Canis lupus familiaris: one gene and its partners. The protein of the gene in region 1 interacts with the protein of each later gene in a biochemical or structural test. Links are inferred from orthologs where the notes say so. Each region holds a gene or a part of one and is shown on either strand. Other genes may lie near its edges. The genes, in order: PPARG, NCOA4, KAT5, CDC34, TRIM24, CDK5 and nuclear receptor subfamily 0 group B member 1.

Evidence for each region.
Region 2: the proteins of PPARG (region 1) and NCOA4 form a complex in vitro, tested with the Homo sapiens proteins (2 studies listed by BioGRID, with this or other methods). The link is inferred for Canis lupus familiaris from reciprocal best matches to the Homo sapiens genes PPARG and NCOA4.
Region 3: the proteins of PPARG (region 1) and KAT5 form a complex in vitro, tested with the Homo sapiens proteins (2 studies listed by BioGRID, with this or other methods). The link is inferred for Canis lupus familiaris from reciprocal best matches to the Homo sapiens genes PPARG and KAT5.
Region 4: the proteins of PPARG (region 1) and CDC34 form a complex in vitro, tested with the Homo sapiens proteins (2 studies listed by BioGRID). The link is inferred for Canis lupus familiaris from reciprocal best matches to the Homo sapiens genes PPARG and CDC34.
Region 5: the proteins of PPARG (region 1) and TRIM24 interact in a test that uses a peptide from one of them, tested with the Homo sapiens proteins (2 studies listed by BioGRID). The link is inferred for Canis lupus familiaris from reciprocal best matches to the Homo sapiens genes PPARG and TRIM24.
Region 6: of the proteins of PPARG (region 1) and CDK5, one has a biochemical effect on the other in vitro, tested with the Homo sapiens proteins (3 studies listed by BioGRID, with this or other methods). The link is inferred for Canis lupus familiaris from reciprocal best matches to the Homo sapiens genes PPARG and CDK5.
Region 7: the proteins of PPARG (region 1) and nuclear receptor subfamily 0 group B member 1 form a complex in vitro, tested with the Homo sapiens proteins (2 studies listed by BioGRID, with this or other methods). The link is inferred for Canis lupus familiaris from reciprocal best matches to the Homo sapiens genes PPARG and NR0B1.

What each region holds. Positions count from the first base shown.
Region 1 is NC_049241.1:6,222,513-6,226,518, reverse strand, and holds part of PPARG (peroxisome proliferator-activated receptor gamma), read left to right. Parts: intron 1-466; coding exon 467-917; intron 918-4,006. UniProt on the Homo sapiens protein: Nuclear receptor that binds peroxisome proliferators such as hypolipidemic drugs and fatty acids.
Region 2 is NC_049249.1:1,944,860-1,948,865, reverse strand, and holds the end of NCOA4 (nuclear receptor coactivator 4), read left to right. Parts: intron 1-201; coding exon 202-1,218; intron 1,219-1,596; coding exon 1,597-1,737; intron 1,738-2,125; coding exon 2,126-2,131; 3' UTR 2,132-3,718; downstream 3,719-4,006. UniProt on the Homo sapiens protein: Cargo receptor for the autophagic turnover of the iron-binding ferritin complex, playing a central role in iron homeostasis. Acts as an adapter for delivery of ferritin to lysosomes and autophagic degradation of ferritin, a process named ferritinophagy.
Region 3 is NC_049239.1:52,000,729-52,003,884, reverse strand, and holds the end of KAT5 (histone acetyltransferase KAT5), read left to right. Parts: intron 1-313; exon of another isoform or gene 314-1,273; coding exon of another isoform or gene 1,274-1,384; intron 1,385-1,546; coding exon 1,547-1,706; intron 1,707-1,830; coding exon 1,831-1,912; intron 1,913-2,003; coding exon 2,004-2,138; 3' UTR 2,139-2,546; downstream 2,547-3,156. Other genes in the region: RNASEH2C (ribonuclease H2 subunit C), read right to left, coding at 1,274-1,384, 3,055-3,156. UniProt on the Homo sapiens protein: Catalytic subunit of the NuA4 histone acetyltransferase complex, a multiprotein complex involved in transcriptional activation of select genes principally by acetylation of nucleosomal histones H2A and H4.
Region 4 is NC_049241.1:58,444,473-58,448,940, forward strand, and holds the start of CDC34 (ubiquitin-conjugating enzyme E2 R1), read right to left. Parts: upstream 3,182-4,468; 5' UTR 3,160-3,181; coding exon 2,983-3,159; intron 798-2,982; coding exon 711-797; intron 606-710; coding exon 508-605; intron 1-507. UniProt on the Homo sapiens protein: E2 ubiquitin-conjugating enzyme that accepts ubiquitin from an E1 ubiquitin-activating protein, and catalyzes its covalent attachment to other proteins by an E3 ubiquitin-protein ligase complex. In vitro catalyzes 'Lys-48'-linked polyubiquitination.
Region 5 is NC_049237.1:9,918,681-9,923,427, forward strand, and holds the start of TRIM24 (transcription intermediary factor 1-alpha), read right to left. Parts: upstream 2,869-4,747; coding exon 2,499-2,868; intron 1-2,498. UniProt on the Homo sapiens protein: Transcriptional coactivator that interacts with numerous nuclear receptors and coactivators and modulates the transcription of target genes.
Region 6 is NC_049237.1:15,833,209-15,837,717, reverse strand, and holds the start of CDK5 (cyclin-dependent-like kinase 5), read left to right. Parts: upstream 1-1,500; 5' UTR 1,501-1,605; coding exon 1,606-1,642; intron 1,643-2,318; coding exon 2,319-2,407; intron 2,408-2,499; coding exon 2,500-2,567; intron 2,568-2,726; coding exon 2,727-2,787; intron 2,788-2,886; coding exon 2,887-2,943; intron 2,944-3,619; coding exon 3,620-3,715; intron 3,716-3,818; coding exon 3,819-3,893; intron 3,894-4,041; coding exon 4,042-4,138; intron 4,139-4,327; coding exon 4,328-4,397; intron 4,398-4,509. UniProt on the Homo sapiens protein: Proline-directed serine/threonine-protein kinase essential for neuronal cell cycle arrest and differentiation and may be involved in apoptotic cell death in neuronal diseases by triggering abortive cell cycle re-entry. Interacts with D1 and D3-type G1 cyclins.
Region 7 is NC_049260.1:25,562,525-25,567,112, reverse strand, and holds the start of nuclear receptor subfamily 0 group B member 1, read left to right. Parts: upstream 1-1,504; 5' UTR 1,505-1,519; coding exon 1,520-2,690; intron 2,691-4,588. UniProt on the Homo sapiens protein: Nuclear receptor that lacks a DNA-binding domain and acts as a corepressor that inhibits the transcriptional activity of other nuclear receptors through heterodimeric interactions.

The DNA of each region.
Region 1 (4,006 bases):
CATTTGAGATCTGAGTAGATTTAATCTAAAACTGTAAGATTACTTTATGTTCAAGTGGGTGTGTTCAACCCTGAGTTGCCGAAATGATTTTTTTTTTTTATTGAAAGAAGGTTAAAAACACACTCTCTTGAAAGCCAAGATAAACAACAGATTTTGTATGATTTTTACAAGTCAGCAACAAAGTTTCTCCAAACAACCAAAACTGGAATTATTAGCCAGTCATACATAAGTAAAATGTTGCAGTATAAGTTGAAAGAAAAGAAGACCAAGCTTGGTAAAATATGTTTGGTTCCAGAAGACAATTAGGAGCAATAATCAGGAGATGAGAGTACTTTCTCATTAAGTATCTTCAACCTTAAAGATTTTAGTTAGCGAAGCAAATGTGTATAAAGAAACTGGAATGGGATTCACCCTGAATTAGAGATCTCCAACTCAGCCACTTCCCTTTTTTTTTTTTTTTTTGCAGCCATTTGTTATCTATGACATGAATTCCTTAATGATGGGAGAAGATAAAATCAAGTTCAAACACATCACCCCCTTGCAGGAGCAGAGCAAAGAGGTGGCCATTCGCATCTTTCAGGGGTGTCAGTTCCGCTCAGTGGAAGCCGTGCAGGAGATCACAGAGTACGCCAAAAGTATCCCTGGTTTTGTAAACCTTGACTTGAATGACCAAGTAACTCTGCTAAAATATGGTGTCCATGAGATCATTTACACGATGCTGGCGTCCTTGATGAATAAAGACGGGGTTCTCATATCAGAAGGCCAAGGATTCATGACAAGGGAGTTTCTAAAGAGCCTGAGAAAGCCCTTTGGTGACTTCATGGAGCCAAAGTTTGAGTTTGCTGTGAAGTTCAATGCACTGGAATTAGATGACAGCGACTTGGCAATATTTATAGCCGTCATTATTCTCAGTGGAGGTAAGATGCATCTTTTGATCTTTCGTGGAAGAGGGTGGGACAGCAGTATGATAATTGGAAGAATTTTGACATCCTTTTCTCTGTACTGCACTTTCATGCAAAAATATGCCAGTGGCATGATGCCATGAGAGCATCACTACACAGGTAAAGTACCAGGAGAGAAGATCATAGATTTGCTGTTGGAAGGCTGTGGGCAACCCCAGCCTTTCCAGTCAAATCCAAACATGAAAAACAAATGCCCTCTTCTTCTTTTTTCTCCTTTTTTTTTTTCCTTTTTATTTTCTTTTCCCCTGTCTTTTCCCACCCCTCCCCTTCTCTCTGTTCACTCTCCCTTCTCCTTCCCTTTCCTTCCCATCCCTTCCTTCCCTTCCAGCCAATCTATTCTTCATTTCATTTAAGTAATGACATGTACAACTTTGCTTAAGTCACAGTGCTCACTTGGCATAGAGAGAGCACAACTAAGTGGTTTGGGGCAGATTTTGTTCCTGCTCTACCATCAGGAAGATATTACTTTGAATTGCTTTCCTAATATCAGGAATCGAGTAATATTTATCTACTGACTTCCACCTATTCCCTCAGGTAGATTTATCTGATGGCTTCCCTTAAAGTAACTTTGTGAGGTGGTTGGCTGTGATTAAAAATATAATCTGAACCAGAGAGCACAGAGCAGAGAAATAAATTGAGTTATTTAGCAATTCATTGTATTTTTGGCCTTGCAAGTACATGATCTAACTGACAACTCCAAAGCCAGGTTTTATACTAAATGCTACTTTCATTGGCTACTCCACACATTTCCAGCTTATGTAGAAAGTTTTACTGTCATGTCTCTGTATAAAATTGTCTTTAAGCAATGAGTTTTCATTACTGAAATGGACTTCAGGTGAGCTTTTTGTGTGTACTCTACAGACAGAGGATACTCTTGGCAAAAGCTGACGTGGGGAGGGATGGTGGTCCTATAGATGTAAACTGTAAACTATATAAGATATTATAAAGAACATGGTGTACTCTGTCCTCCTTTGTTGTCCAATTACTTGAGAGCAGAATACTTCTGAAATCGGGTGCCTGATTACTACTAATAATAATGATAGAAAACACTTAAATACCTACTGTCTTCTAAGCAGTATCCTAAGCACATGATACACGTTCACTTAATTCTCCAGCCCAGCAAGAAAAGTACGTTTTGCAAAGGAGGAAGCCAGAGCCCTGAAAGGTTCAGTCACTTGCCCAGGGCTACGCAGCTAACACAGGATAGAACCAGGATTCTGAACTCCGGTAGTCTGGCTCCAGAGTCTACAGTAATACTGCCCTTTAGGTAACTTGGGTGCAAATAGATGACAGTGCAGCCCAGGTTAACTCTGGAGCCTCCACTGCAGTGTCAAGTTGTAACTCCTTTAAAAATGGTGTTTGGGGGGTTATATTTAATGTAACAAAAACTACTGTCCAACATGTTGTAATACCTTAACTGAATCTACTTAAACAGATCACCCCTCGATCCTCTGGGATCCATGATCAATTCAGCAAAGAAGAATAAGATTCTAGTTTATTTGAGGTGCATTAGGAGAAGAAACTTAAATTTTGAAGCACTAGATGAGAAAACAGGTTGTTATTGCTTAGCTAATAATTTGAGGCACATTTTATTTTTTTTAGGCACATTTTATTTTTAATGCAAAATAGAAATATTAACAGTTGATATGTTTCTAAGTTTTTTCCTGAGCATACCATATATTCCATGTTTATATTCAGTCATTTTCCCCACGTCATTATGTACTCTTTGTTAATATTTTTCATTAATTTTTGAAAATAAAAGTAATACGTGGTCATTTCATAATTCAAAGGGTACAGAAAAGTGTGAGTGAAAATTAAAGGCCTCTGTCCTCAGAATAAAATAAGATTAACAAAGTCCTATTCCTCCTCCTGAAAAGTTTCTGTCCATGTGCTAGCATATATATGTATACACACTACCATTTTAATGACTATAAAATATTCCATTTTAAAAAGGACCATTATATACCAAATAATCTCTTTACTTATTTTTTTTAAGATTTTATTTATTTATTCATGAGAGAGAGAGAGAGAGAGAGAGGCAGAGACACGGGCAGAGGGAGAAGCAGGCTCCACTCAGGGAGCCCGACGTGAGACTCGATCCCAGGTCCCCAGGATCACACCCCAGGCTGCAGGCAGCGCTAAACCGCTGCACCACCAGGGCTGCCCAATCTCTTTACTTAGGATTGCTAATTTAAAAACCTATCAACAAGAACATAGAAAATATCAAAAATGTGTTCTAAATTTTTGTTTTAGTGAACATTATTAAGTGTAAATTTCTGTTGAAATTCCAAATTATTTTCTCATTCTAAAGTACCAGAAGTGGAATTGCTGGGTAGATGATTATAAATATTTTGTTACATCATTGCCACATTGTTCACCACAACATTTATGAGTTTATATTCCCACCACAGATATACTAAAGGAAACATTTGAAATAAGCTATTCGAAGATGATTAGTTGCTAGCCAGGGCAGGTTTACACAAGAAACAGTCATGATAATTCTGGACTTTTTTGAACAAATTTTGGGTTTGTTTTGTTTTGTTTTGTTTTGCTTTTTAGGATTTATTTATTTTAGAGAGTATGTGTGTGCAAGCAGGGGGAGGGGCAGAGGGAGAGGGGGAGAGAGAGAATCCTGAAGCAGACTCCCCACTGAGCACAGAGCCCTATTTGGGACTCTATCCTAGGACCTTGAGATCATGACCTGAGCTGAAATCAAGAGTTGGCCACTTAACCAATTGAGCTACCCAGGCGCCCCAGCAAGCAATGTTGTTTTATGGGCCTGTGAGACAACAGGGTGTTTTCATCTAGGAAAACAGCCATTATGGCCTATAACTCATAAGCCAGGTTATTTAAAAACCAGCAATTTATTAGGCTTTAAATTTTTCATTAATTTGTCAAAAAATAACAGTAAGTTGATTGCAGGCTTTGGTTTTTTTAATTATGAAAATTAAAAATGGTACATTTTAAATGTGGATGTTATATAAATGAGTTCCTTCTGGTCTTACACAGACCACTTTAACAGTAGCCAATATCCAGATCTTATT
Region 2 (4,006 bases), on another chromosome or scaffold:
TTTAGTATTTTTAAGTTTTTTTAAAACTGCAGAAATTTGTTATTCAATACATATTTTAATATCCCAACAGAGAAATCCTTTCCTTGGCTTTATATACTTAAATTTAGAAATTCTAGGGAGTGTAAATAAATGAACTCTTATCATTGAACCCCAAAGCAGCCATAATGTTCTATGGACTAATACTGCATACTTCTTGTGTAGACTTCTGCCAGAGCCTGCAATTTCTTCGGTAAAGTCTGGGGCAACCTAAAGGGCTTAGAAAACTGGCTCCACCAGAGTCAGCAACAAGAGGTTCCCGAAAAACCAACTTACCAGAAGTGTAACAGCCATTCTACTACCAGTTCATACTCTGTTGAAATTGAAAAGATTGGAGATCTGGACCTTCTTGAGCAGGACGAGATGGACCTTTCTGATTGGCTGGTGACTCCTCAGGAATCCCATAAGCTGGAGAAGCCTGGGAATGGCAGCTGTGAAACCAGTGGGAAGTTTAAGCTCCTGTTGCAGGTGTTCCAGGAGCCATACAGTGTGAATGATTGGCTTGTCAAGCCCGATTCCTGTACCAATTGTCGGGGCAACCAGCCCAAGGGTGTGGAGATTGAAAACCTGGGCAATCTGAAGTGCCTGAACGACCACTTAGAGGCCAAGAAACCCTCGTCCATTCCCAGCATGATTAATGAGGATTGGCTTGTCCAGAATCATCAGGACCCATATAAAGTGGAGGAGGTGTGCAAAGCCAATGAGCCCTGTACGAGCTTTGCAGAGTGTGTGTGTGATGAGAACTGTGAGAAGGAAGCTCTGTGTAAATGGCTTCTGAAGAAAGAAGGAAAAGACAAAAATGGTATGCCTGTGGAACCAAATCCTGAGTCTGAGAAGTGTATAGATTCCCTGAGTGTGTGGCTCTGTCCTTCCAGAAAAGAGGCAGCACAACAAGCTAAGATGTCAAAGGCAGTGGCTCCTTCTAGAATTGCGGATTCCTTCCAAGTCATAAGGAACAGCCCTTTGTCAGAGTGGCTCATCACACCCTCATGCAAAGAAGGTTGTCCCAAGGAAATGCTTGGTACTGAAGACAGAGCTAGCAAGCAAAAGCCTATGAACCCAGTGGCCACTTTCTGCCATCCTTTTAATACAGCTGACTGGGTCTTGCCAGGAAAGCAGATAGGAAACCTCAGCCAATTATCCTCAGGAGAAGACAAGTGGCTACTTCGAAAGAAGGCCAAGGTGAGCACAGAATCTGAACTATACTTAGTAGATAGATACTTTCTTAATCCCAAATCTTGCAGATGGGCCAGATCCTGAAATATGTTAAATGTTATTTGGCATATTAATCTTGCTGGAACATCTGATTCAGACTGAAATTTTTGTACATTTTCCAGGCTTTCAGGCCCCATCCTGCAGGAAAGAAAAACAACACCTCAGTTTTAGTGGTTGTTTTGGGGAAAGATTAATAAACAATTTTACCTTTTCTCTTGCTTATTTGAGAGAATGGCCAACATGTACACATTCTTTAGAGACACTACACTGTTGGGCAGATGAGTTAAGTTGGTGTCTTGCCTCCCAGTTGTCATGTAGCAACCCACCGCTTTTGTCTTCTTGCAGGAAGTATTACTTAATTCACCACTACAGGAGGAATGTAACTTTCCCCAAGACCGTTATGGCCTCCCAGCAGTTTGTGACCTCTTTGCCTGTATGCAGCTTAAAGTAGACAAAGAAAAGTGGTTGTATCGAACTCCTCTACAGGTGCGTACATGTCTCTAGTGTAAAAAAAAAAAAAAAAAAAAAGATTTTAGCTGCTTGTCAATTTTTTTTTTTTTTTTTTTAATGTTTTGTCTTCTATATGAATTCACACTTGGCTTACTGAACTATAGTCCTGTTAATGGTGTGTGTGCTAGGCAAGTGATGATGGCTGGGGGATCGTAACAGTTTCAGGTATTTTCACTTGAACTTGCTTTATAAAATAACTAGGACATACTTGAAAGTGACCTTTTAAGATGATATAACTATCGGGAATTTTCAGAGCCTGTTGTGGATTCTATTAGCTTGAGAAACAAGTCTGAGCTTTAAGGCGGGGAAGATTTGCTTTTATCCTATAGTGAAGGGACTCTAATCTGTGGACGTTTCTTTACAGATGTGAAGCAATGGAACCCAAGTCAAGCAACTTTTCTGCAAATTATCCCATATCCATGGGCCGAGTGACTGTGCAGCTTGCCAAATCATTGTGTTTCTGGGTCTGACCAGTCAGCTTAGTTCCTTTCCTGCCTAGTTGAGCTAGTGAAGAGAAATAAGTCATCGAATTATAAGTTACTGCATAAAAGAAAAAGACTGTTGATGCTGAGGTGATTTCAGTTCCTTTCTACAAAAGTATTAACTCAGCCCTACACTAGAAACAAACAGCATCTTGGTGGATAGGTCTTTTTCATAAGCCTCTACAGCTCCTTAGATTGAATTGTTACTAGAAGTACATTAAAACACTGTAGTTTTAAAAATGAAATAGTTCTGTAATCAAAGTGTGTTGATATATTTGAAAGCTAGTAAGCTTCTCTAATCTTTTGATTGTCCTCCTTTAGATGCTCCCCGTGCTGTGGGTTTTCTTCCATTGGTGGTGGAAATAATGATTCTTCTGTTTAGTGTATTTCACACAAATAGTTAACCTTGCCAACATAGTGATTTTTTTTTCTTACCACAACATGTATTAACAATCTTGGCAATTTTTGACATTGATTATACAAAACATTTTAACTTACATGTTAGATTCTACATTATTTTTCTTCTTTTGAAAGAGATTCAGCTACTGCAAATTTGGTCTGTTATCTAAATGTTATTGAAGTAGCTAATGAGCTTTTAGAAGAGCTCCGTATTGTTTCAAGATTATATCCAGGGTAGTCCTAGCCACTTTCATAATATTCTGAACACAGGTAAAAGAGCCCTCCTGCTGAGTAATCAATCAAAGAGCGAAAGGCAAGACATGTTGGAAACGTAGTATTTGAACTGTTAGCTATCCTAAGGGTTATTGGTGCATCCTGTGTAAAGGGAAGCTGAGTCTGACACCTGGTGCTTTTAATTAGGAATAAATGAAATGTTCTCACTGCAAGCATAATGTACCTATACCTTTGGAAGTTTCAGAATGCAGTGACATTTTAGTGAATAGGCTGTTTTGAACACTTGTGCCTTGGGGTGTTTACTGAAGCTTTATGAAAACTTTGATGTTTTACCAGTATCCTTAAAAGTCCCGTCCATGCTTTAAAAAGTATCTCTGTAGGAAATGCGATTTATAATGTTTTTAACTTCTCAAAGGTGAGATATCTTAGCTGCTTTCTGGGCTTTCAGACAAGTTTTAAATTCAGCTTTCCTGTTACTTTTGAAGTTTGTGATGTGGTCATCTAAAAGCCCTTTTGGAGAAACTTCAGAGTCCTACAGTCCTTGCCATACAGCTTCATTTGACTTCTTGAACACAGCTGAAAAGAACCTATTTTTTGGTCGTCGCTCCTCCCCCAATACCACTTAGAACTTTAATAATAAAGGTGGCAGGTAAAAATTTAAGGAGCCTTTTCCATTATCTTATGTTGCAGGAAACTTTGTAGTTTTGAAGTTTAATGATGTGTTCCTAATTTTATATTCATCATCATGCTAATAAGTATGTAAAACATTCTTTTGTGTTGAAGCATTTTGTACCTCCCTTCATTAAAAGCACAAACAGGCATAGTTGTGTGTATCTGTAAAACTGCCTTATCACAGACTGTTCTACCACAGTGACCTTTGGGTAGGAGTACAGCTAAGAACTTTTATATTAACTTAAATATCAAGTGTATCTTATGAATCTTAATATAGCAAAAGCTAGGTATATTACCAGTTTCATTTTGAGTCTTTTCCTGCAGACTTCAGATCTGCTCTTTTAATTTTTATGAAATATATTAAACTCTCTTTTTAAAAAAACTAGAGGCCTTCAGCTAAGGTTCAGTGCTTTCCTCTCTCTCTGAGTCCTTACTGGGTGCATGCAGGAAGGCCCTAC
Region 3 (3,156 bases), on another chromosome or scaffold:
ATAGTGGATGCTCAAAATGCTAAAGTGATGTTAACTCAGCAAAAATAAGGAAGCACTGATTTGTGTGGATTTGGTCTCTGCTCCTTGGATTCAGGCAGGTCAGTCTCTTAAAGCCCACAAGGGACTCTGCCCCTCATCATCCGTGAACTCTTCTATGTCCCCCACCCGCAAGGCCCCCTTTTGCTTCCCAGCATCTTACATCACTCCACTCAACTCACCACTCACTGAACCCTTGGGATAGTTAAGTTCTGACCTGAGAGACAGGAGGGAGCCTTAGCTGTTTGGTGAAGTCACAGTGGCTTGACTTGATAAGGTCATGATCCATTTGAGTTATTTTATTAATAGAATGATGCCAAGATGGGGTCACATTCTCAGGAAGCCCTCAGCCTGATATGTGGGCGGATACTTAAAATGAATCCAAGCCTTGAAGCTCAGACCTCCATGGAGATAGGATGTGGGCAAGGACACCAATGTGATGTGCTCACTTCTGCCCAGCAGGAGCAGACAGGTGCACTGGGAGTGCCCATTCCGGGCAGTTCTTGAGGGCAGGTGGATGTTCACTGGGGAGGGGCCAGGAGCTCCTTGCAGCTGGGGAGGCTGATGTGGCAGGATCCCACATGCACTGGCAGGCCCAGCAAAGTCAAGTAGGGACCCAGGTGTGCTCCCTTCCTCTTCCAGGCTTCCTTTCTCTAAAGCAGGAGCTTTTCTGTCCCTCTCCCCAGCAGGCTGCTTGGTGGAAGTCACAGAAGATTGGGCAAGACTAGCTGATAAAGATTGGGAGGGGTAGGCAAAAAGGGCTGTGAGCCTACATAGCTGTGACTGAGGGTGAAGAAGGGCTTATAGAGGTAATGAAGGACACCCCAGGACCCTGAGGGAGAGAATGAAGACTCTGCCAAGAGACACGAAGCCATATAGGATTTTGCACAGCCTGAGGGGCTCCCTAGGAACTGCCTGCTAGTGCCCAGTAATCAGCAGGGTAGAGGAGGACAGAGCAGTCGGAGAGTGCCTCTGGAGAGGTGAGTTACCTGCTGTGGAATGGCCGCCTTCTGACCTGGGAAGTACATTAGTGCCTCTCCTTGCTTCTTATCAACACCTAGTCAGGCCAGCCTGGTCCTGGAGCAGCCAATGCTCCCCAGGTCACAGCTAGGGGGACTGACTTGACTGCAAATCCAGACATCCTGAGGCCCAGACCACACGTGGGGGCTGCCTTCCCTTCTCACATACCCAGGAGATATGGTCTGGAATGATGAAAATCAGGCACTTGCCTTTCTTGTCATTTTCTCTGCACTTCCCTGGTTCCTGAGTTTTTCTCCAGGTGGATTATAGCTGTTCCTTTCAGTACCCTCCACAGCACAGAGATGAAGAGTGAATGCTCATTAGCTCTCTGGGGAAACAGACACAGCAGACTAGCTACGTATGTCAGGTCACAGAACTACCACATGGCAAGGGTGAGATGGGAACCAGGCAGTTTACTCCTGTAACCATATTCTGAAAGTTGCATGAAGGTGTGATCGCTTACCCACCCCTTCTTGCTGCCTTGCTGTAGGCTATGAACTCTCCAAAGTGGAAGGGAAAACGGGGACCCCTGAGAAGCCCCTCTCAGACCTTGGCCTCCTATCCTACCGAAGCTACTGGTCCCAGACCATCCTGGAGATCCTGATGGGGCTGAAGTCAGAGAGCGGGGAGAGGCCACAGATCACCATCAAGTGAGCCTGGCCCTACCTCTGACCCTGGGGGTGCATGGCATGGCCCATCCTCATTCCTGGGGCTCCTGGGGGCTTGGGGCAGAGAGGAAGGCCTCCAGAGGACCTGATCCTTGTCCTCCCACAGCGAGATCAGTGAAATCACCAGCATCAAGAAGGAAGATGTCATTTCTACTCTACAGTACCTCAATCTCATCAACTACTACAAGGTAGGGAGGCAGGCAGGGGGAGACGTGTGTGTAGGGCTGCAGAGTGTGCACCCCACATGGGCTGACCCTTCCGGTCCTATCTCCCATCCAGGGCCAGTATATCCTCACACTGTCTGAGGACATCGTGGATGGGCATGAAAGAGCTATGCTCAAGCGGCTCCTTCGAATCGACTCCAAGTGTTTGCACTTCACTCCCAAGGACTGGAGCAAGAGGGGAAAATGGTGACCAGGCACTGTCTATAGCAGTGGCAACAAAGCAGAACTGGGGCTGACAGCACATCCCACCCCCACCAGGGCCCCCAAGAGGCACACCAAGGGAGGTGGGGCTGAGGACAGCTTCATAAGGAGAGGACAGGCCTGGTAGGGGCTAGCTGCCCAGCACCAAGGCGAGCTCAGGGCTCAGGTCAACTCCAAGGTCAACTGGCTGCAGGTCTGGGCCTGCTATGAAGCAGGGACTGGACGGAGCCAAGCAGCTATGTACAGTGAGATGGGGGGTGGGTGCACTCTGTACAGAGGGCTAGTGGCTGTAAAAATTTCTTTTGTAAGGAGTTGGGAGGAGGGGTGGGTACTGGCAGCAAAATTCTGGCCTCTTGCCCTCACTGCTCCTTGGCAATAAATCATTTCTATAGACTGAGCCATGAAAGTTTCTTGTGGGAGAAGGGGTAGTGCCAGCTTAGAAGACTCCAAGGTGCCCACAAACTCGCAGGTGCTGTGAAGAGCTTGTTTATTGGGGTGATGGAATCAGTGGTTCCAAAATGAAGAGCTGGTTTATTGGGGTGAAGGAACCAGTGGCTTTCAATTTCAAGTTCCGGCTCTCAGTCTTCAGGCACCTGTGCGTGAATCTGCAACAGGAGTCACCTCTACTATTGGGTTTTTGACACACACTGGGTGGCCCACATACTCTGGGAGTGACCCAGCTACTCAGAATGACAACCCCTTCTAGACCAGTCAGAGGTAGGGAAGCGCCCCTGCCCCTGACCAGTCTAATCCAGTCAGACCCAGGCTCCTTGTACCCCATTGTACTCCCCGGCCCTGAAGCCCCAAGTCCACTCGGACAAGATTCTGGACAGTCCAGGGAATACCCTTGAAGGCACAAGGGAATGGATGGGGCCTGAAGAGTGAGGTCCCATCCCCCTACTCACCGCTGCGGCCAGACTGGGCCAGGTTAGGGCCCCGCGCACTTTGGCGTCCGGACCAGGAATGGTCTCCAGACCCCATAGCGTGAAGCGGCTGAAACTGGCGAT
Region 4 (4,468 bases), about 52 Mb from region 1:
GACCACCTGCGTCACCCACGTCCCCGCCCCCCAGACATCCTGAAGGCCAGTGGATCCCTCTGTGACAACAGTGTCTGTTACGGCTTGGGCTGGACCCAGACGTGCAGGCCGGGAAGCAGGGAGGCCGGGCCACTCAGTGAGCGGCTCAGCCCTGAGACACAGGGGACTGGGCTCCGTGGGGGACGGAGGGAGGAGACCCCCCCGGGGAAAGGTGGAGGGACCGAGGGAGCCAGAGCGGACTCGAGATTCCCAGCGACTGTTCCTGATGGTGGACGGGCCAGGGGGCTTCAAGAAATGAGGACAGGCCTGCGAGCTGGCCCAGGGGTCTTTGGGGCCCCCCGCATCCCGGCGGGAGGCCAGCCAGGGCAGATTGGACGGTACTGCAGGGAGTCGTGGCCCTGTCCTCCCGCGTCCGCGCCCCAGGGCTGGCCGGGCCTGAGGGAGCCCCACAGGGGCAGGGGTCCATCTGCTGAGCAGCCCCTCACACAGGGCCCGGTCCACTCTCACCTGACGTTCTGGGTGGGGTTCCACCGCTCTGAGGGCAGCTCCCCACTCTGGGGGTCATCGACTGGGGGGTGGAGAATGGAGATGCACACGTCCCCCGTCTGTGGGTACAGGACGGAGGGATCAGGGCCCACACCGCTCACCACTCGGCAGGCAGCGCAGCGTGTCCCCCGACAGGGAGGCTGCAGGGCACGCGGCGGACTCACCTCGTAGATGTTGGGGTGCCACATCTTGGTCAGGAACCGGAAAGCCGGCGGGGAGTAGGGATAGTCGATGGGGAACTTGAGGCGTGCCTGGGAGGGCAGAGCGCAGGAGCTCAGCCAGTGCCGCCCACGGCCCCCAGCCCAGGGCCGCAGACCAGGGTGTGAGCTGGGACAGACGCGCCCGCCCGGAGGCCGCCTGGACCCTGCCTGCCGCACGCACCGCCCGCAGGCCCCAGGACTACTCAGGGTCCCCCGAGCCGATCCGGGCCCCACCCCGCGGCTGGGAGCAGGTCTCAGGCCGTGCTCAGTCCAGGCCTGTGGGAGGGACGCGCAGCCAGGCCCCAGGGAGCGCGGCGGGCTCGGGCCGGCACATGGCTCCGGCTGGCAGGGCCCTGGGAGCTGTGCACCCCCGCACGGTGGTGGACTCCTCGGCCTCAGTTTCCAGGTTGTGGGGAAGATTAAAATAGACGTGTGTTCACTCAGCAATCACTCCCGACACCTCTGTGGGCCGGGCCCTGTGGGAGGAGATGAGTCAGCGCTGGACAGACGGGCTCTCTGCCCACAAGTGTCCATCACGGGGGGGCCAGGAAGGCAGACAGGAAGGTCACGGGGCAGACTGGGGAGGGCCACCTGCCCAGGTGACACACTGCTCAGGCCTCAGCAGGTAAAGAAGCCGTGTTGGCTTGTTTGAGCCCCAGGCCCAGACGTGGGGAGGCCTGGCCCCGGATCCTGGCGGAGCTCCAGGCCGGCAGGGGCGAGCCAGCGAGCTGGGAGACAAAGCTGGGCACGTGTGCGGCAACTCCCCCAGGCCCGAATTTGGAAAGTCTCCTTCCTGGGCAGGGGGCACTCGGGGCATTTGGGGGAAGTCCCTCTGCTCTGGGGTGACCATGCTGAGGCCCAGGAGGCAGGCAGCTGGCTGGCGACTGCAGAGCACTCCTGGAACTCAGAACCTGCCCTAAGAGTTTCCAGTGATGGCCCTCGGGGGCGGGGCGGGGGGGCTCCCTGGCACCAAGCACCCACCGAATCGAGCATCCCCCGGGGAGACCGCACCACTGAGCAAGCTCAGGCTCAGAGAAGGAAAGTCCCCTACTGAGGACGCCCGGCGATAAGCCGGGAGGAGGCCTCTGAACTGCCTGTCTCTGGCACCCCGTCTGGTCACGGAGGCTCGGGAGGCCGGGCTGGCCGCAGGGCGCTGGGGGAAGTGGCTGGAAGTGACGGTGGTACTTCCCTGCGCTTCCCCAGCTCCGCTCCCGCCCGTCGCACCTGCACGAGGACCACACTGGGTGTGGGGCCCAGGCCGGCCTCCTGCAGACAGGGCCTGTGGCATCTGGAAATCTGGCCGTGGCCCAGCTCCAGTCCCTTCTTCTCAAGTGGGATGACCCCTCCCCCCCAAAGCCATCCTGGAGGATCTACCCACAATCCCTTGCAACCAGTTAACCGGCAAAAATCAGAAGCCCAAAGCCTGTGCCCTTTCCCTCCAGCTCTGCAGCCTCACCCAGGGGCTCGGCCTGCCTGAGCGTCCCGGCTGCGAGAGCCGTCGCCCTTGCAGCCCGAAGCAGACACAGGAGGCTGGCGAGGGCCCTAGATGCGCTACTAGGTGGCCAACCCCAAATCCGTGCCCTGCGTGCCAGCGGGGGCCGGGCTCCCCGGCCATGCAGAAGCTAGCCCAGGGCTGTCCACGCTCACGCCCCCTCGTCCCACTGCAGCACCACGGTGGGGTGCTCGCAACTCGGGAGTCGCCCCAGCTGACCAGGCTGCTCCCTCACGCCCGCGGCCGAGCAGGCTCAGCTAAAACATCAGCTGAAAGTGCAAACACAGACATGTGCCCCGGGAGCAGCGGCCGCCCCTCCCCCACCGCCTGGCTTCTGCTCCCCACCCTGCCCGGGGCAGAGCCTGGCAGGGCCTGGCAGGGCCTGGCGGGGCCTGGCGGGGCCTGGCGGGGCGCGCAGGCTCCCGAGCAGGGAGGGTCCTGGGCCGGCCTGGGCCGAGGGCTCGCTCCCCACCGCTCGGCAGCGAGACCCCTTGGCCCGCGCCTCTGGCTCGCGTGCACGGCCCGGCCCTGCAACCTGAGAAGCGTCCTCCGGCCCGACCGGGCTCCGGCGGCGAGGTCAGGAGGGCCGCCCGGGGCCTGGCTCCAGTCCTTTGTCACACCAGGGAAACGCGGCCAAGGCCGGGCGCGGCGGCCCTCCCGGCTCCAGGCAGCGCGGCGGGACGGCTCGGGGACCCCGCGGCCGGCGGGGGGCGCAGCGGGGCGAGCGGGGGCGCCGCGGCTCACCTTGAAGTAGCCGCCCTCGTAGTAGGTGTTGGGCGGCCCGAAGATGGCCACCTCCCAGTTGTACAGGTCGCCCTCGTCCACCAGGGTCACCCGGAAGCCCTCCACCGGCTCCTCCTGCAGCCCCTTGAGCTCCAGCAGCAGCGCCTTCTGCGAGCTGGGCACCAGCGGCCGGGCCATGGCGGCGGCGGCGGGGCCCGGGGTCGGGGGCGCGCGGGGCCGCGGGGCCGCCGCGGGGGCGCGGGACGGGCCGGGCCGCGCGCCGGCCGGGGGGACGCCGGGGCCGCCGCCGCCGCCTTCCTCCTCCTCCTCCTCGCCGCCGCCGCCGCCGCCCGGGACCCCGGGACGCTCCACTCGCTCTGGCGCCGCCGCCCGCCCGGCGCTCGCCTCCGCCTGGCCCGCGCGCCCCGCCCCGCGCTGCGCGTGCGCGCCGCCTCCGGCCCCCCGACCGCGCCTGCGCGCCGCGGCGGGGCCCGCACTGAGCCTGCGCGCCCGCCCGCGGGGCACGCCGGGAAGTGGAGTCCCCGCCCCCGGCCCGCCGAGCGCGCAGGCGCGACCGCCGGGAGGGACCGGGGGGGGGGGGGAGGCCAAGCGCGCAGGCGCCTGGGCGCTTCCGACCCCCGGGAGGCCGCCGCCGCCGCCCGCCGCTCGGACGAGCACCCCGGACGTCTGTGCGCGGGGAGGCGGGCAGGGCTGGGCTGCGCCGGCCCGGCACGCGCCGCGGGGCTTTTGGGGTCTTTTCTATGACGTCCCAGCGCGGGGCGGGGCCGGGGCGGGGTCGCCTGGCCCGGGCGGGGCGGAGCAGGTGGCTTCGCGGAAGGGGAGGAGCGGAGGGCGGGGCCTCAGTTTCCCTTCGGGGGAGCGGAGCGCGGGGCCGAGCTGGGGGCGGGGTTAGTCCCCACCGCGCCGGGCGCACACCTGGACGCACACCTGGACGCACACCTGGACGCACACCTGGCCCCGGCCTCCATCCTCCACGCCCTCAGGGACCCAGAGGGTGGGCGTGGCGCTGTGCCCGCAGCCTCGCTGGCAGGTGTCCGGCAGGCCCCAGACCAGCACCTGTGCTGCGAGCCCCTCCTCCAGGTGCCCCAACACCTGCCCCCCCGCCCCCCGCTGCCGTCGCCCAGGTGAGGACACACAGGGAGCCTTGTCTGGCGCGAGGGAAGCAGCATTTCATCTAGAGGAGAGGGACAGGGGACCGGAGGAAGAGCCCCGGGCCCGGCAGCGGCTTCCGGCGGCTGCCCCAAGGCGGGGACCCTGACGTTCCCATCCGCAGAGTGGGCAGCCGCTGCCCCGCACCCCGGGCCACCTGGCTCCGTGCCCCTGGCCAGGGGTTCCCTGGCCCTCGTTCTGTGCCCGCGGCGCCCACGTCAGCAGCGGCATGGGGCAGCTTGCCAGTAAATAGTAATTAGAAGTAATCACGATTCTTGCAAATCCAGATCCCAGGATCTCCCGACGGAAGCCCCGCTCCCCCACGAAGCATGGGTGG
Region 5 (4,747 bases), on another chromosome or scaffold:
CCTGCTTCTCCCTCTGCCTGTGTCTCTGCCTCTCTGTTTCTCTCATGAATAAATAAATAAAATCTTAAAAAAAAAAAAATACTGGCCCTCTCTTCTCTTACATGACAATCTGCAAGAGCTGAGTTTGCTGCCCGCCTCCCTTTCACTCCTCACTTTCCTTATTATTTTACCCCCAAGCTCATAGTTCTCCAACTCAGATAACTAGCTTAGCTCCTGTAGGTATTATATAGTTTGATCCATGATGACTGTACCCACAAGTTCATTAGGAGAATGAAGAACAGAGATGGTGAAATGAACCCTATTTATTTATGAAATGTGCTGGCTAAAGTTTTATCTCAGCTAGTATTAGAGTAAGTTCACAAGGAGAGGGACGAAGAACATTCAAGTTAATAAGATTCAGGATAGGTAGTATTTTTAATTTATAGAAAATGACCCTCTTTTTTAACAGTGTATTTAAAGAATCATTTGTTAGAGACCATTACCTTCCAATTTATATGCTTTCTTGAACTCTTGCTGGTAATACAAACACCAAGATAAAATATATTTAGACTAGAATCGCATTGAACATTTTGAGAAATCTGGAACTTAAAACCTGTCTCAGAGTTTAGTTTCAGAGCATTTATTCCCCCTGTTCTCATTCATTCCGGTCTGAATATCATGGCCAGGCACACGATAAACCTTAATTCTAGAATTACGCAAAATTCAGATCCTGATTGGCTACTAGCCTATTTAACCAATTAAAATGCAAATAAAAGAGACCTTAGACTGTGTCTAAACATTAAGAACTAGGATTTGTTTCACCTGTACTGAATTTCCAACAGGTGGGCCACATGAGAGAAAACAAGAGTGAAAGATCAGAGACTTCAGCCTATTTGCAAGCTAGCTTACCATGGTAGAAGGCAGACTCATGGGTGAGAGACCAGGGACGTTTATTAGCTACTCACAATAATAACGTAGGCCAAAGCTAACATAAACCGAAGCATCGACATTTTTGCTCTCCTTCCCGGAACCCCAGTTCCCACCAGGCAAGGTCAAAGGGCCAGCTGACACCTGCACAGGCAATGGATTGTGTTACACCAGAGGAAACCTAAGCTTAGAGCACCCCAATCTTGTATCGTGGGTACTAAGCATGCCTGTCTTTAACTCCAGTGGACATCACACTGGACCACACGCACGCCTGCTCTTTGCTCTGGTGGAAGACACAATCTCTATCTTCCAAGGCTGATCCTTATACAAACATCTTTCAAAAACAGAAACAAAGGGCAGTCACAGTACCTCCCTGGCACGACCTGCAGAAACTGAGAGACCGCTGGAAAACTGGCTCCCTAGGCCAGATACTGTTCCAAACACAGAATCAAATGCAGAGTCTAACACTACTGTCTGTCTATAGCACCGATTTCATATACCCCTTAACATAGGCTCAATTACTTAATTAGCATTTTATCTCAAACTTAATCAACCAGACCCTCTGAAAGTATACATCAAAACGAATCATCAAAAAAAAAAAGAATCATTCCCTTTCTAATTACTTTCTATTTTTAAAAAGGAGGTAGGTGCTCCCGAATCCGCAAAGTCGCAATTTACAATCCTCATTCTCCTAGGATGCTTACTGCGCTTACTCTGACTCACTTTTTAAAGGTCTCAAACCTGTTAACGCTCGCAATGGGAACGACCTGTCGAAAGTCTCATTACCCAGTAACAAATGCACCACCAAAGAGAACAGCAACGTCCTCATTACCCAGCTGTCGTCTACAAAATACAAGAAAACCCTGCGGGCCGCCCGCCCCCCCCCCCCCAAAAAAAATCACTCCCTTCTATTTCTCTTTACCCTTTACCGTTGCGAAAGAAAACCTTCCAATGCAAACACACACACACACACAACCACATACCGTCTCTCTGGGTCCCTCCGTCCCGGCAGAAGGGAGAGAAATCGGGGAGACGCGTCAAAGAAGCCGAAACATACGTGCAGGACAGAAAACAGCATCCGGATCTGCCACGCGTCTCCCCGAAGAAAAGTCCCCGTCGCTTCGTCTTCACCCACCGCCCACCACCCCCGGCTCAAATGACGTGGGTCCGAACCGGGTGATGAGGGCCGCACCGACCGGGACAAAGCTCCGGGGGAGGCAGAGGGCAGAGCAGTGAGCCGGACGCAGCGGGCCAAGCAGCCGAGCGACGCGGCGCAGCCCGCTCCAGCCCAGGTTTCCAGAGTGCGGGGCGCGCTCCTCCAGCCCCGGAGGAGAACGCGGAGCCGCCGCCGCCAAGCCCTCGGCGCCCGGGGAAGTGGCTCGCGGGGCGCGCGGCCGCCGCCGCCGACGCGGACCCTCCTCCTCGCCCCTCCCCCGCCGCGCACCCCCGGCGGCGGCGACGTGACAGCGGGTCGCGCCGCACCCGGGCGCCCGCCTCCTGCCCCGGAGGGGGGCCGCTCCTCAGGCTCCTCGGGCGCCCCGGGCGCCCCGGGCTCCCCTCCCCCCCGCGCGCCCACCTCGGCCGCCTCTCACCTTGGGTGGCGAACGGCGAGGAGCCGCTGACCGGCGAGCCGGGGGCGGGGACGGGCGGCGGGGTCTCGGCCGAGCCCAGCATGGGCGCGGGCAGCATGAGGTAGCGCTGGGGCGCGGGCAGGCAGCGCTGGCAGAAGGAGTGCAGGCAGGGCAGCAGCTTGGGCGCCCGGCTCTGGATGTTCTGGTGGCACACGGCGCAAGTGTCCAACAGGTTGAGCCGGGCCGCCTCGCCTCCCCGCTCCGAGTCGGGGCCCTGCCGACTCTCGGCCTCGTTCTCCCCGCTCGGCGCCGCCAGGGGCCCCCCGGCGGCCGCCGCCGACGCCGCCGAAGCCGCCGCCGCCGTCGCCGCCTTCTCCACAGCCACCTCCATTGTCCTGCCCCCGCCGCCGCCGCCGCCGCCGAAGGGGGAGCACGGTCCCCGCCTGCCGCCGCCCCCGACGACCTCCTCCTCCGCCTCCTCCTCCGCCTCCTCCTCCTCCTCACAGGCCGTTAGGATGACCCGCGGGAGACGGAGGGCCGGAGGGCGGGCCGGGCCGAGGAAGCCTCCTCAGGCCCCGGGGATCCGCCTCCCGGGTGGCGCGGCCGGAAGAAGGGGATCTGTCAGCGGGAACCGTTCCTCGCACCGGGAAGGCTGCGCCCCGTCCGCTTCGCCAACCGCCTCGGCGCTCGTCGAAGGCGCCCAGCCCGCCCTCGCCTCCCCGCCTTTCTGTCCGGGCCCCCCCGCCCTACCCCGCCAGCGCCGGCCCACCTCAGCCTCAGGCCCCGCCCTCCCGCTCCCGGCAACTGAGGCCCCGGCGAGGAGCGCGCCGCCCAATCGCCGCCGCGCCTGGCCAGGGGGCGGGGCCTGCCCAAGCCCGCGAGGCTCCGCCGGCCGCGGCGGGAGGCTGGGAGGTGGGAAGGCGCTTGCCCAGCCCCGCCCCCGCCCCAGCCGCGGCCTCTGATTGGGCCTTGCTGTGCGTGGCGCTCCTCTAGGAAGATCAAGGGATCGTTTGTTAATGACGGACGGACTAATTGGGTCCGCCTGCGTTAGCCCCGCCCACGGGGGGCGGAGCTCCGCCGCCGGGCGCGCAGCGCGGCTAATTAAGTAACTTGCTTGCAGAAGTCTCGGTTTCCTGCTGAGGATCCGGGTCCCCGCAGGTGGGGTGAATACGGCGGGAGGGTCAAAGGATGACCAAGTGGATGGAGACTGTGAAGAGCGAGCAAGCGAGGAATTTTATAGGTGGAGAAACGTGTGGATGGGACGTCGTGGGGGCAGCGTGGGCTTGCCGCCTGAGTTCGCGCCTCGCTCCCGTGAGTGATGGGACCTGATGCGGAAGGACGGATGTTCTCTTGCGCCTTGGAAGTGTTTAAAGAATTCCACCACCACCCCCAGTGAAAAAAAAAGGTGAAATCGATTTCTAAGTCGGCGATTTGCTTTTTAAATGAGGAGAGATAGTTCTGTCTCCGAGACACTAATAGGTTAAGATTGTCAGAAAGTGTTCTTTATTGCATAAATAGGACAACAGTTGGAAAAACAAGTGAATTGTCAGGCCTTACGGATGTCCAAGTAATTCCTTCAATGACTTTTTTCATCCCCCACCCCGCCCCCACCTTCATCCCACCCCCTACCCCCCCTCGCAAGGTGCACATGCTTCCAGGTAGAAGGTACACACGTGTTTTTTGGTCAGGTTTGATCTGGTTGGTAGTGAAATGAAACAGAGGCCCAGCAAAGGTAGGTGGAGGCAAGCTTTTAATGGGATGCGCTCTCAGGCAAGGCAGCGCAGCCGGGGAAGTCGCGCCCAAAGGGAGTACCTGCGAGCTTTTTTTTTTTTTTTTTTAAGATTTTATTTATTTATTCATGAGAGAGAGAGGCGCAGAGACACAGGCAGAAGCAGGCTCCACGCACGGAGCGCGACATGGGACTCCATCCCCGGTCTTCAGGATCATGCCCGGGGTCTCCAGGATCACTGACCCACCCCCTGGGTCTCCAGGATCATACCCTGGGGTCTCCAGGATCATGCCTGGGGTCTCCAGGATCACGCCCTGCGGAAGGCAGCGCTAAACTACTGAGCCACCGGGGCTGGCACAGGCGAGCTTTTAAAGGGGAGGGGTAAGAGGCTGTGTCCCAATGGGGTGATAGGTATTAGGGCCTGTTACTGGTGGAATGGTATGGGGCGATAACTGCTTATGCCCTATATGGGGGTTTGGATAAGGTGTGGCTCCTGTTTCCTGCATAGGTCCTGTTTTCCAGTAAGGATGTGTCCTCAGAT
Region 6 (4,509 bases), on another chromosome or scaffold:
CTTGGGCGCCCCGGGGACGCCGTCTTTGGGCCGCATTAGGCACCTCTGGGCGGAAAGAGGAGACACACACGGGAAAACGGAGACACGAAGATGTTCAGGAAACATCAGAGGAACTGGAAATATTTACGAATGCGTCGGGGTCGAGATTCTCCCCCAACCACCCCCCGCTACTCCCCTGTAATCCCCAGTGCCTCCAAGAAAGGCCCTTTCTTTGCTGCGGTGGGGGCGGGAGGGGGATGGCGATAGGGGTGACGGCTCCTGGAGGTTGGATTCCCATTGCCCTCAGCTGACCTAGACTTTCCGAACCCGGGAACTTCTGCCTCAGAGTGATTCCCTGCGGCGACCTCCCCCCTCGAGCCCTATTATAATCATCCCCTGCCACTCAAGATTTCTGTATTTCTAGTTTTCTCAACTAAATTATAAATTCTTCCACATAAGAAGTATACTTTTTTATTTTTTAGCCTGCCAGTAGGTGAAGCACAGCATTGTGTATATGCAGAAAACGTTCCGATATAAACAAGTTAATTAACAAATGTTTATCACCAACTATGGTTCTGGTGCTGAGCAGTGCTGTTTGGGGCCGTTTCTATCCAGTTCACAGCCCTCAAGAATGCAATCATGAGACAATTAGAGAGGAGCGCAGGAAAATCTATAATCAACTCCTTAAAGGATGAGGTCAAGGCTGCTGCAAGTGTAGCATCTGTCTGTGCTTCTGTCTGTCGAGGGCGGCAGCCAACCTGCCAGCTCTCGGCCACACCCTGGCTGCCTCCGGTGGGCCCGGGCTCTCCAGGCCGGTACCAAGGGTCTCCCAGGGCTCCAGCCAGCTTGCCTCGGGAAGTCACAGTGTAGCGAGCGGCTGGAGGCAGGTGGGCTCCGAGACGACAAACAGAGGGCAGGAAGGGGTCTCTGGCGTAGGTTAAATCCCGGGGCACACCTGCCTCTCTTCCCAGCCCCTTGGTTCAGCTGGTCCCTGTGAAGTCATCGTCAAGGCATGGCTCGGAGCCATTGCCCAATCAATCCTGAGGTCTCCAGATGGCCTGGGGAGAGGTGGGAGTCCGTATTGCCGTTGTCAGGAGGTCGCTAGAACCTCAACACCATCAGCCGGGCCAGAGCGCTCCCCTTCCGGCCCAGGACGCAGGCCGCCAAACCCCAAACCCAGAGAGCGCCCCACCCCCACCCTCTGCGTTCTGGAATGCGTAGTCCCAGAGAGGCCCTTTTCAAAAAAAGGTAGTGATCACAGAAAGGAATAACAAGAGCGAGGCACACTGGGAGCCTTGGCGCTTCGGCGGTGAGGCCCGGAAAGCGGACACGCGATGCTTCCTGGGACTTGAAGTCCAAGGTTTTCCTCCGCGGTCGATCCGGAGTCCCGGGAAGCGAGTGCTGCAGAGAGCCCTTGAGCAGCCTGCTGGGAGTTGTAGTCTTCTCGTGGTCTAATGCCGCGCACATCGCCGGCAAACCTGGCTACCCTTAGTACTACACGCCCCAGAAGCCCATGCACAGTCAGGAGGGCGGGGCAGGGCCGGAGGCTGGGGTGCCGCCTCCTCTGCAACGCCGGGGCCGAAGTCTTAGAACCCAGGGCCCGTAGGGGTCCCCGCGGCTGCCGCGATGCAGAAATACGAGAAACTCGAGAAGATTGGGGAAGGTAATGGGACTACGAGATGTTCCTGCAAGATCTTCCTCTACAGACCCTTCAGCATTCCTTGGAACCCTGGCTTCTCTACCGTCAGCAATACCCACAGGCTCCGACTTCAGCACTGGCTGCAGCCTTGGCCCCGAGCTCTCAACACTCCTTGCAGACACCCATCCTTTTCGTTAGCATTTCCCGCAGTCGCCCCTTCCCAACCTTAGCACTTCCTGGAGACCCACCTGCGGACATTAGCACTTCCTGCGTCTCCTAGCCCTAGCCTCAGCACCACCCGCAGAGCCTCACCCACCCACGCCGGCCCCCCAATCCCCAACCCCAGCTTAGTTCTCAATGCAGACCTCCGGCCTCATTTCTGCCGCCCCTCACTTTCCTCCCAGACCTGTTCGCTATTTCCAGACCCTCCGGAAGCACCGCCTTTATTACAGACCTCCTAACCCTGGCAGCTGCAGCCTCTCCCTGCTGCAGACACCCGTGAGCCATCTGCAGGCACCTTCTCTGCCCCATCCTCACTTACAAAGCTCCTCCATGCTGAACCTTCACCTGAGTCTCTCCCCCTACTCCTCCAGTCTTCACAAATAGCACCCTCCCACGCTGCCTGAATTCCCCAGGGGGACTTCATGGGGGTGGGAAGGGTGTCCCATCTTTACCCTCACCCCTGACCTTCTTCCTCTAGGCACCTACGGGACAGTATTCAAGGCCAAAAACCGGGAGACCCATGAGATCGTGGCTCTGAAACGGGTGAGGCTGGATGACGATGATGAGGTAGGACTGGAACATCAGGGCCAGGGTGGGGGTTGAGGGCCCAGGTTGGGTGGGATGTGACTGTTGCCCGCCCGGCCCCCTCCCATGTGTAGGGAGTGCCGAGCTCAGCCCTTCGGGAAATCTGCCTACTCAAAGAGCTGAAGCACAAGAACATCGTCAGGTGTGTAGATGGGCAGGGTCCTCCTGGCCTGTGTGATCAGTTGGAGGAGGGGGGCTTCAGAGAGGGCTGGGCTGATACTGGGATCAGGGTTGGGCTGATAATAGGGACGTGAAGCTGAAATTTGCAGACCTGCCTGGCTGAGCCCTTCCTCCTCCCTAGGCTTCATGACGTCCTGCATAGTGACAAGAAGCTGACTTTGGTTTTTGAGTTCTGTGACCAGGTGAAAGGGGGACTTGGGAGACAGTGTGGCCTTGGGAGGGTGTAGGGGCCCCAACTGAGGTTAAACTCTGGCCCCTCCCCCAACCCCACCTTTTTCTAGGACCTTAAGAAGTATTTTGACAGCTGTAATGGTGACCTGGATCCTGAAATTGTGAAGGTGAGGGGCTGGTGTCCCGGAGACTCAGGGAGGCAGGACGGGAGTCTGTCTGCGGTCTGCGCACCCTCTGAGCACCAGGTTCAGGCCCGGAGTGGAGACACCCTGGAGCTTCAGGGAATGAGAAAACCCTGTTGCTGCCCTCCACAGGCCTCCCTCCTTGCAAGCATCTTCCCATGATCTCTTTGATCTGACAGTAACACTCCGGTATCAGTGATGTAATCTGCACTTGAGGGATGAGAAAATGAGATTCAAAGAGATTCATCCACTCGTTTGTTCACCAAATACCTGTTGGGTGCTTTGCCATGTGCCAGGCACTGTTTTAGGCCCAAGGCCAAGTGCCTTGTCCCGGGTTCCAGGGGCAGCAGTCCTGATTAATAACATAACACAGTATAGATACTGATGGCTACGAAGCATGTGCTTACATGAGGCCAGATAGGGGACAGATCAGGCTGTAAGTTCCAGAAAGAGTCGGACCAAGGCTTTCATGCACTGTTCCTATGTTAATACCTAGCACATTACAAAGCCAGTCCTCCACAGTGAATGAATGATGTCGCTGAAGGACAGGTGGGGTTTTGAGGCAAAGCAGAGGGTGAAGAGGGGCGTGTGGCCCACCCCTGGGTACAGCGTCCCATCCATAAGATCTAACGCCCTACCCTACACCTCCCTCCCCCCACAGTCATTCCTCTTTCAGCTGCTGAAAGGCCTGGGATTCTGTCACAGTCGCAACGTGCTGCATAGAGACCTGAAGCCCCAGAACCTGCTAATAAACAGGGTACCTTCCAGGGAGAAGGTGGGGGAGTGGGGAGGCCGAGGCAGGGGACCTGCCCTGAGACTGTTGAAAAGCCCTCTCCATGTCTCTTCCTATCTCCCTTCAGAATGGGGAGCTGAAGTTGGCTGATTTTGGCTTGGCTCGAGCCTTTGGGATCCCTGTTCGCTGTTACTCAGCCGAGGTGAGCTGGTGGGTCTGTGTGTAGGACATGGGGCCGAGGGAGGGGGTCCTCTCCGAGCATCTTTCATCTCCTCCAGGACCCCAAACATGATTTTCCCCTCCTTCACAGTCCTCTAAGTGGGGGTCGCGGGGGGTGGGTTCTTCTCCAGGTGGTCACGCTGTGGTACCGCCCACCAGATGTCCTCTTCGGGGCCAAGCTGTACTCCACATCCATCGACATGTGGTCAGCTGGCTGCATCTTCGCAGGTGACTGGCTGGGGGTCTACAGAGGCACTTACTTTCTCTCCCACTCGAGTGGACCCTCAGTAGGGTCTGAAGTGTCTCCTCTGGGGAAGGGAGTAAGGCCCTTGGGGAGGAGGACGAAAAGCACAGAGGGTGCCATGGAATGAGGGGTTCTTCACATGTCCCCTCCTCACACCCTGCTCCATCTCGCAGAGCTGGCCAACGCAGGGCGGCCTCTTTTCCCCGGCAACGACGTAGATGACCAATTGAAGAGGATCTTCCGATATCCTTCGATGTTTCCCTTCACTTTGAGCTCTCTGAAGGGGAGGAAGGAGGGGCACCTGGCTGGCGCAGTCGGTAGAGCATGTGACTCTTGATCTCCAGGGTCATGAGTT
Region 7 (4,588 bases), on another chromosome or scaffold:
TTTAACCTTTGTGTTGTAGGGCCCCTCACAGGCAGAATAAAATTTCAGGTTGAATGCAAATCAGTGTCTCCTAGGTATTCCTCTTATGCTCAGAATTCCAGGCCCCAGAGAAACTACAAAAGGAGAAAGATGATCCTATGGCAACTGGTACACATTAGTCTTCAGCCCCGGACCCGTGAAATCACTAAACAAACCTCCCATTTTAGAGATGAGGAATCTGAAAACTAAAGGGTTGTGAGTTTGAAGTTAAGCAGCTGGTTGGTGAAACAGTTACACAACGGGGGCAGGTGGTGATGTGGAAAGACCCACTGATCTCAGCGCCTGTATAGAACTCAGGGAAGGAGGCTGTGTGGCCAGTGAGGATCAAAGGAGCCAGGCTTGGGACGCCTGGGTGGCTCAGCAGTTGAGCATCTGCCTTTAGCCCAGGGAGTGATCCCAGGATCTGGGATCGAGTCCCACATTGGGTTTCTTGTAGGGAGCCTGCTTCTCCCTCTGCCTCTCTCTCTCTCTCTCTCTCTCTCTCTCTCATGAATAAATAAATAAAATCTTTTAAAAAAAGAAAAAGAAAAAAAAAAAAAAAAAAAAACAAAGGAGCCAGGCTTCCTGAAACCCGTGTTTCTCATTATTGAGGTAGGAGGGGTGTGAGAAGAAACATTAATTACACGACTACCCAAGGCAATACTTTTTAGAAGAACCCAAAGTTCTCACTGAAGTAACCTTTTAGCACCTGCGATTATTATAACCCCCAAATATTAGCCCCTTTTACATCCTGGTCACTCTTGCTCTTTAATACATAAAGTGGGTGTTCATGAATATCAACTGAATCAAACAAAACGCTTATGACTGCATCCTTAAAGCAGCGCTTTTCAAAATGTAAAGGGCATGCAACCCCCACTCCCCTCCCGCCCCGGGAACCTCATTAAAATGCAGATTCAGAGTCAGAAGGTCTGGCTGGAGACCGAGGTGGGGCATTTCTAGCAAGTTACCACGCAATGCTCTTATCGCTGGTCCGTGGTCTTTACTTTTCAAGTTCCCTGAAAACGAGACTTCCCCATCCATATGGAAAACATAAGTCATAGAAAGTTTGAGCACTTAATGAAAGTATTCAACGATGGCATAGAAATAGATGGTCCCCGTTTAATGAGGCGCGCCTGCCCCTCCAATAAAGGGAGCAAACGAGATGCCTGGTTTCAGTGAAAAGAGTTGGAACCCTGCCCCCGGATTATCTGCTACCTCCTCTGCGCTCTGCCTTCCAGAGGCAGGGAAGGGTGGAACGAGAGGAACGGAGTGTCCAGAAGCTCCCATGCCTCCGCCCCCCCTTCATTCTCAGCCTTTAAGGAGCATCTGCCCCTTTTTAACCGCTGAGGTCAAGGGCGAACACTCCCGAGCACAGCGCCCGCGCCCCCCTCCGCGCCCTTGCCCTGGCGGAGACGGCCGACGCGCGTGCGTGCGCGCTTGGTATAAATAGATCCCAGGCGGCCGCCACCCGGACAGAGTCGGGTTCCGGGCACCGCGGGCCATGGCAGGCGAGGACCACCAGTGGCAGGGCAGCATCCTCTACAACATGCTCATGAGCGCCAAGCAGACGCACGCGGCCCCGGTGGCGCCCGAGGCGCGGCTGGGGGGCGCGTGCTGGGGCTGCTCGTGCGGCGCGGAGCCCGCGGCGGGCCGAGGGGCGCTGCCGGGGGCGCGGACCACGGCGCTCCTGTACCGCTGCTGCTTCTGCGGGGAAGAGCACCCGCGCCAGGGCAGCATCCTCTACAACATGCTCACGAGCGCCAAGCAGACGCGCGCGGCTGCGGAGGCGCCCGAGGCGCGGCTGGGGGGCGCGTGCTGGGGCTGCTCGTGCGGCGCGGAGCCCGCGGCGGGCCGAGGGGCGCTGCCGGGGGCGCGGACCACGGTGCTCCTGTACCGCTGCTGCTTCTGCGGGGAAGAGCACCCGCGCCAGGGCAGCATCCTCTACAGCTTGCTCACCAGCGCCAAGCAGACGCACGTGGCGCCGGAAACGCCCGAGGTGCGGCCTGGGGGCGCGTGGTGGGGCCGCTCTTACAGCGCCCAGGGCCCGGGGGGCAGAGAGCAGCTGCCGGGCCGGCAGGCCGTGGCGTACCTGTCCCGCTGCTGCTTTTGCGGGGACGAGCACCCGCGCCCCGGCAGCATCTTCCACCGCTTGCCCGCGAGCGCCAAGCAGACGCACGCGGCTCGGGAGATGCAGCCCGCGGCCCCCTGGTGGGACCCCCGGTGTGACGCGCAGCGCCGAGTGGCCCTCAAGAGTCCACAGGTGGTCTGCGAGGCCGCCTCGGCAGGCCTGTTGAAGACGCTGCGCTTTGTCAAGTACTTACCCTGCTTCCAGGTGCTCCCTCTGGACCAGCAGCTGGTGCTGGTGCGCAACAGCTGGGCGCCGCTGCTCCTGCTCGAGCTGGCCCAGGACCGCTTGAACTTTGAGACGGTAGAGACCTCGGAGCCCAGCCTGCTGCAGAGGATCCTCACCACCAGGCGGCGGGAGACCGCGGGCGACGAGCCGCCGCCTCCGACCCCGCAGCCGCCCCCCTTGGTACCGCCGCGCGAGGCCGGGCGTTTGCCAACGGCCGCTGAAGTCCAAGCCATCAAGTGCTTCCTTGCCAAGTGCTGGAGCCTGGACATCAGTACCAAGGAGTACGCCTACCTCAAGGGGACCGTGCTCTTTAACCCGGGTAAGTGCGAGACCTCGGGCGCGGGCTTTCCTCCGTTCAGAAAAACTCCGGGCAACGGCTGGCCGAGGCACAGGCACTTAAGAGTTTTCGGTGGTCAGGGGAGGGTCGGGGAACCAGCGAAGAATCTCGAGTAACTCAGCAGAGTTGGGGGAACTCCAGAAAGCACTCCTCGTGGGTGGGCTGCTGTCAGACGCAAAACAGAGAGCAGGGGGATTGGGTGATGGAGTTTAGTACTTATCTCTCTCCCCCCTCTGTTACTAAGGAAAAGTTGGTGCCATCAAGGCACAGGGCTGGTCCTCCTCTAGTCTTTTAAATCCAGTAGTGTAGCTATAAAAAAAAAAAGCGCACAACTTTGTGTTCACTGCAAATCCTGCCACATGTCTTTCTGAAACCCAGTTCTGAGGTGAACTACAACTTTTTGTGAAAGGAAATCTATTCAGGCTCCTAAGAAAGGAAAGCTTTGTTAAGGAGTCCTGGAGTGTCTCCCAGGGACACTGTCATGCAGGACGCTGGACTTGCCTTTCATGGGACTGCTTCTGAATGATCACGTTTATGGTCCTAAGCAGCTGGACTATGTCCTCCTCAGTGTGTCCGTATCAGGGTACTAAGGGGGCAGGGAAAAAACACTAGGGACTGCCAGCAGGAGCACTGTCTTTTAGAACTTGCAGAGACCCTAGGGACCTCCTCATCAGGCCCCTCTGCCCTTCACCCTGACTCCATCCCATTTGCAGATTAGGTAACCTAGTCCCAAGTGACTTTACTCCACAGTAATGGCCAGTGAGTCGTGGAACATGGATCTCCCAGCCCCCATGGGATGTCTGCTGCACACACTTTCAAGTTGTCTGTTAGGTGCTGGACACTGCCCCCCACACACCAACCACATCATGAGAGAACATCTCCATGGGCTACCCAGCACCTTTTCTTGAGTATGTGCCATTACTAGAGCTGTCTTTGACCAGAATCCCTCCAAAAGGGTCACAAGTGGTCACAAAGTTTCCAGGCAGCTTGAGTTGGGATAGTTTGTATAATGCTCCCTCCACACCTTTTCCCTCCCTAACACCAGGAGTCTCTGGTTATGCTCCTGCCTAGCATTTTGTGAAAGGGCACAGAGCAGTATCTAATAGGATAATATTTCATTCAGAACTCACATTTCAAGACCTAGAGACCACAGCTCATCCCAGGGATCACAGTAAGTCACCTTTTGCTTATATTGTTGTTTTCCAAACTTGGCTGTGCATAAGGGGAGGGGGGCACTTTTTCAAAGTCTTACCAGGCTCCTCCCTTGGAGGTTCTGATTTGGTAGCTGTGGTCCAGGGTCTGCAAATCCGCATTTGTAGTAAGTGCCCAAGATGGTTCTTCAGATCATTCTTCAGCCAGTGTTCTTTTTTTTTTTTTTTCAGCCAGTGTTCTTAAACATCTACCATGTGCCTAGCTCTGTTGGAATATAAAAGAAAGGCAGGGGCTCAGCTTCTTGAACTTTACATTCCACTAGTTTCCCTCTTTCCCTCCACCCTGTTTAGCATACTCTGGTCATTCTCTCTCTCTCTCTCTCTCTCTCTCACACACACACACACACACACACACACACACCTCCCTTATTCTATCTAGTTCTCTGAATCCTCTCACTGTGACTTTAATCAGCTAAGCTAAGTGTGTTTTCAACACAAATGCACCTGCTAAGTGTGTGCCTTTTCTTAGATGTTTATCCTTTTGTTGTGAATCCTCTGATCTTTATGTTTAAACACTTTTTTAAATTGTGGAGTCCATCTGTCCACATTTTCTCTTTCCTGAATTTACTTTATGGGCATACCTTTTGCAAGGAGGTGGTGGGGGTGCAGTGAAAAAAGGAGAGTATAGTAGGAAAGCAGAGGAAAGTGACTCGGAAACTGAGGAGTTCA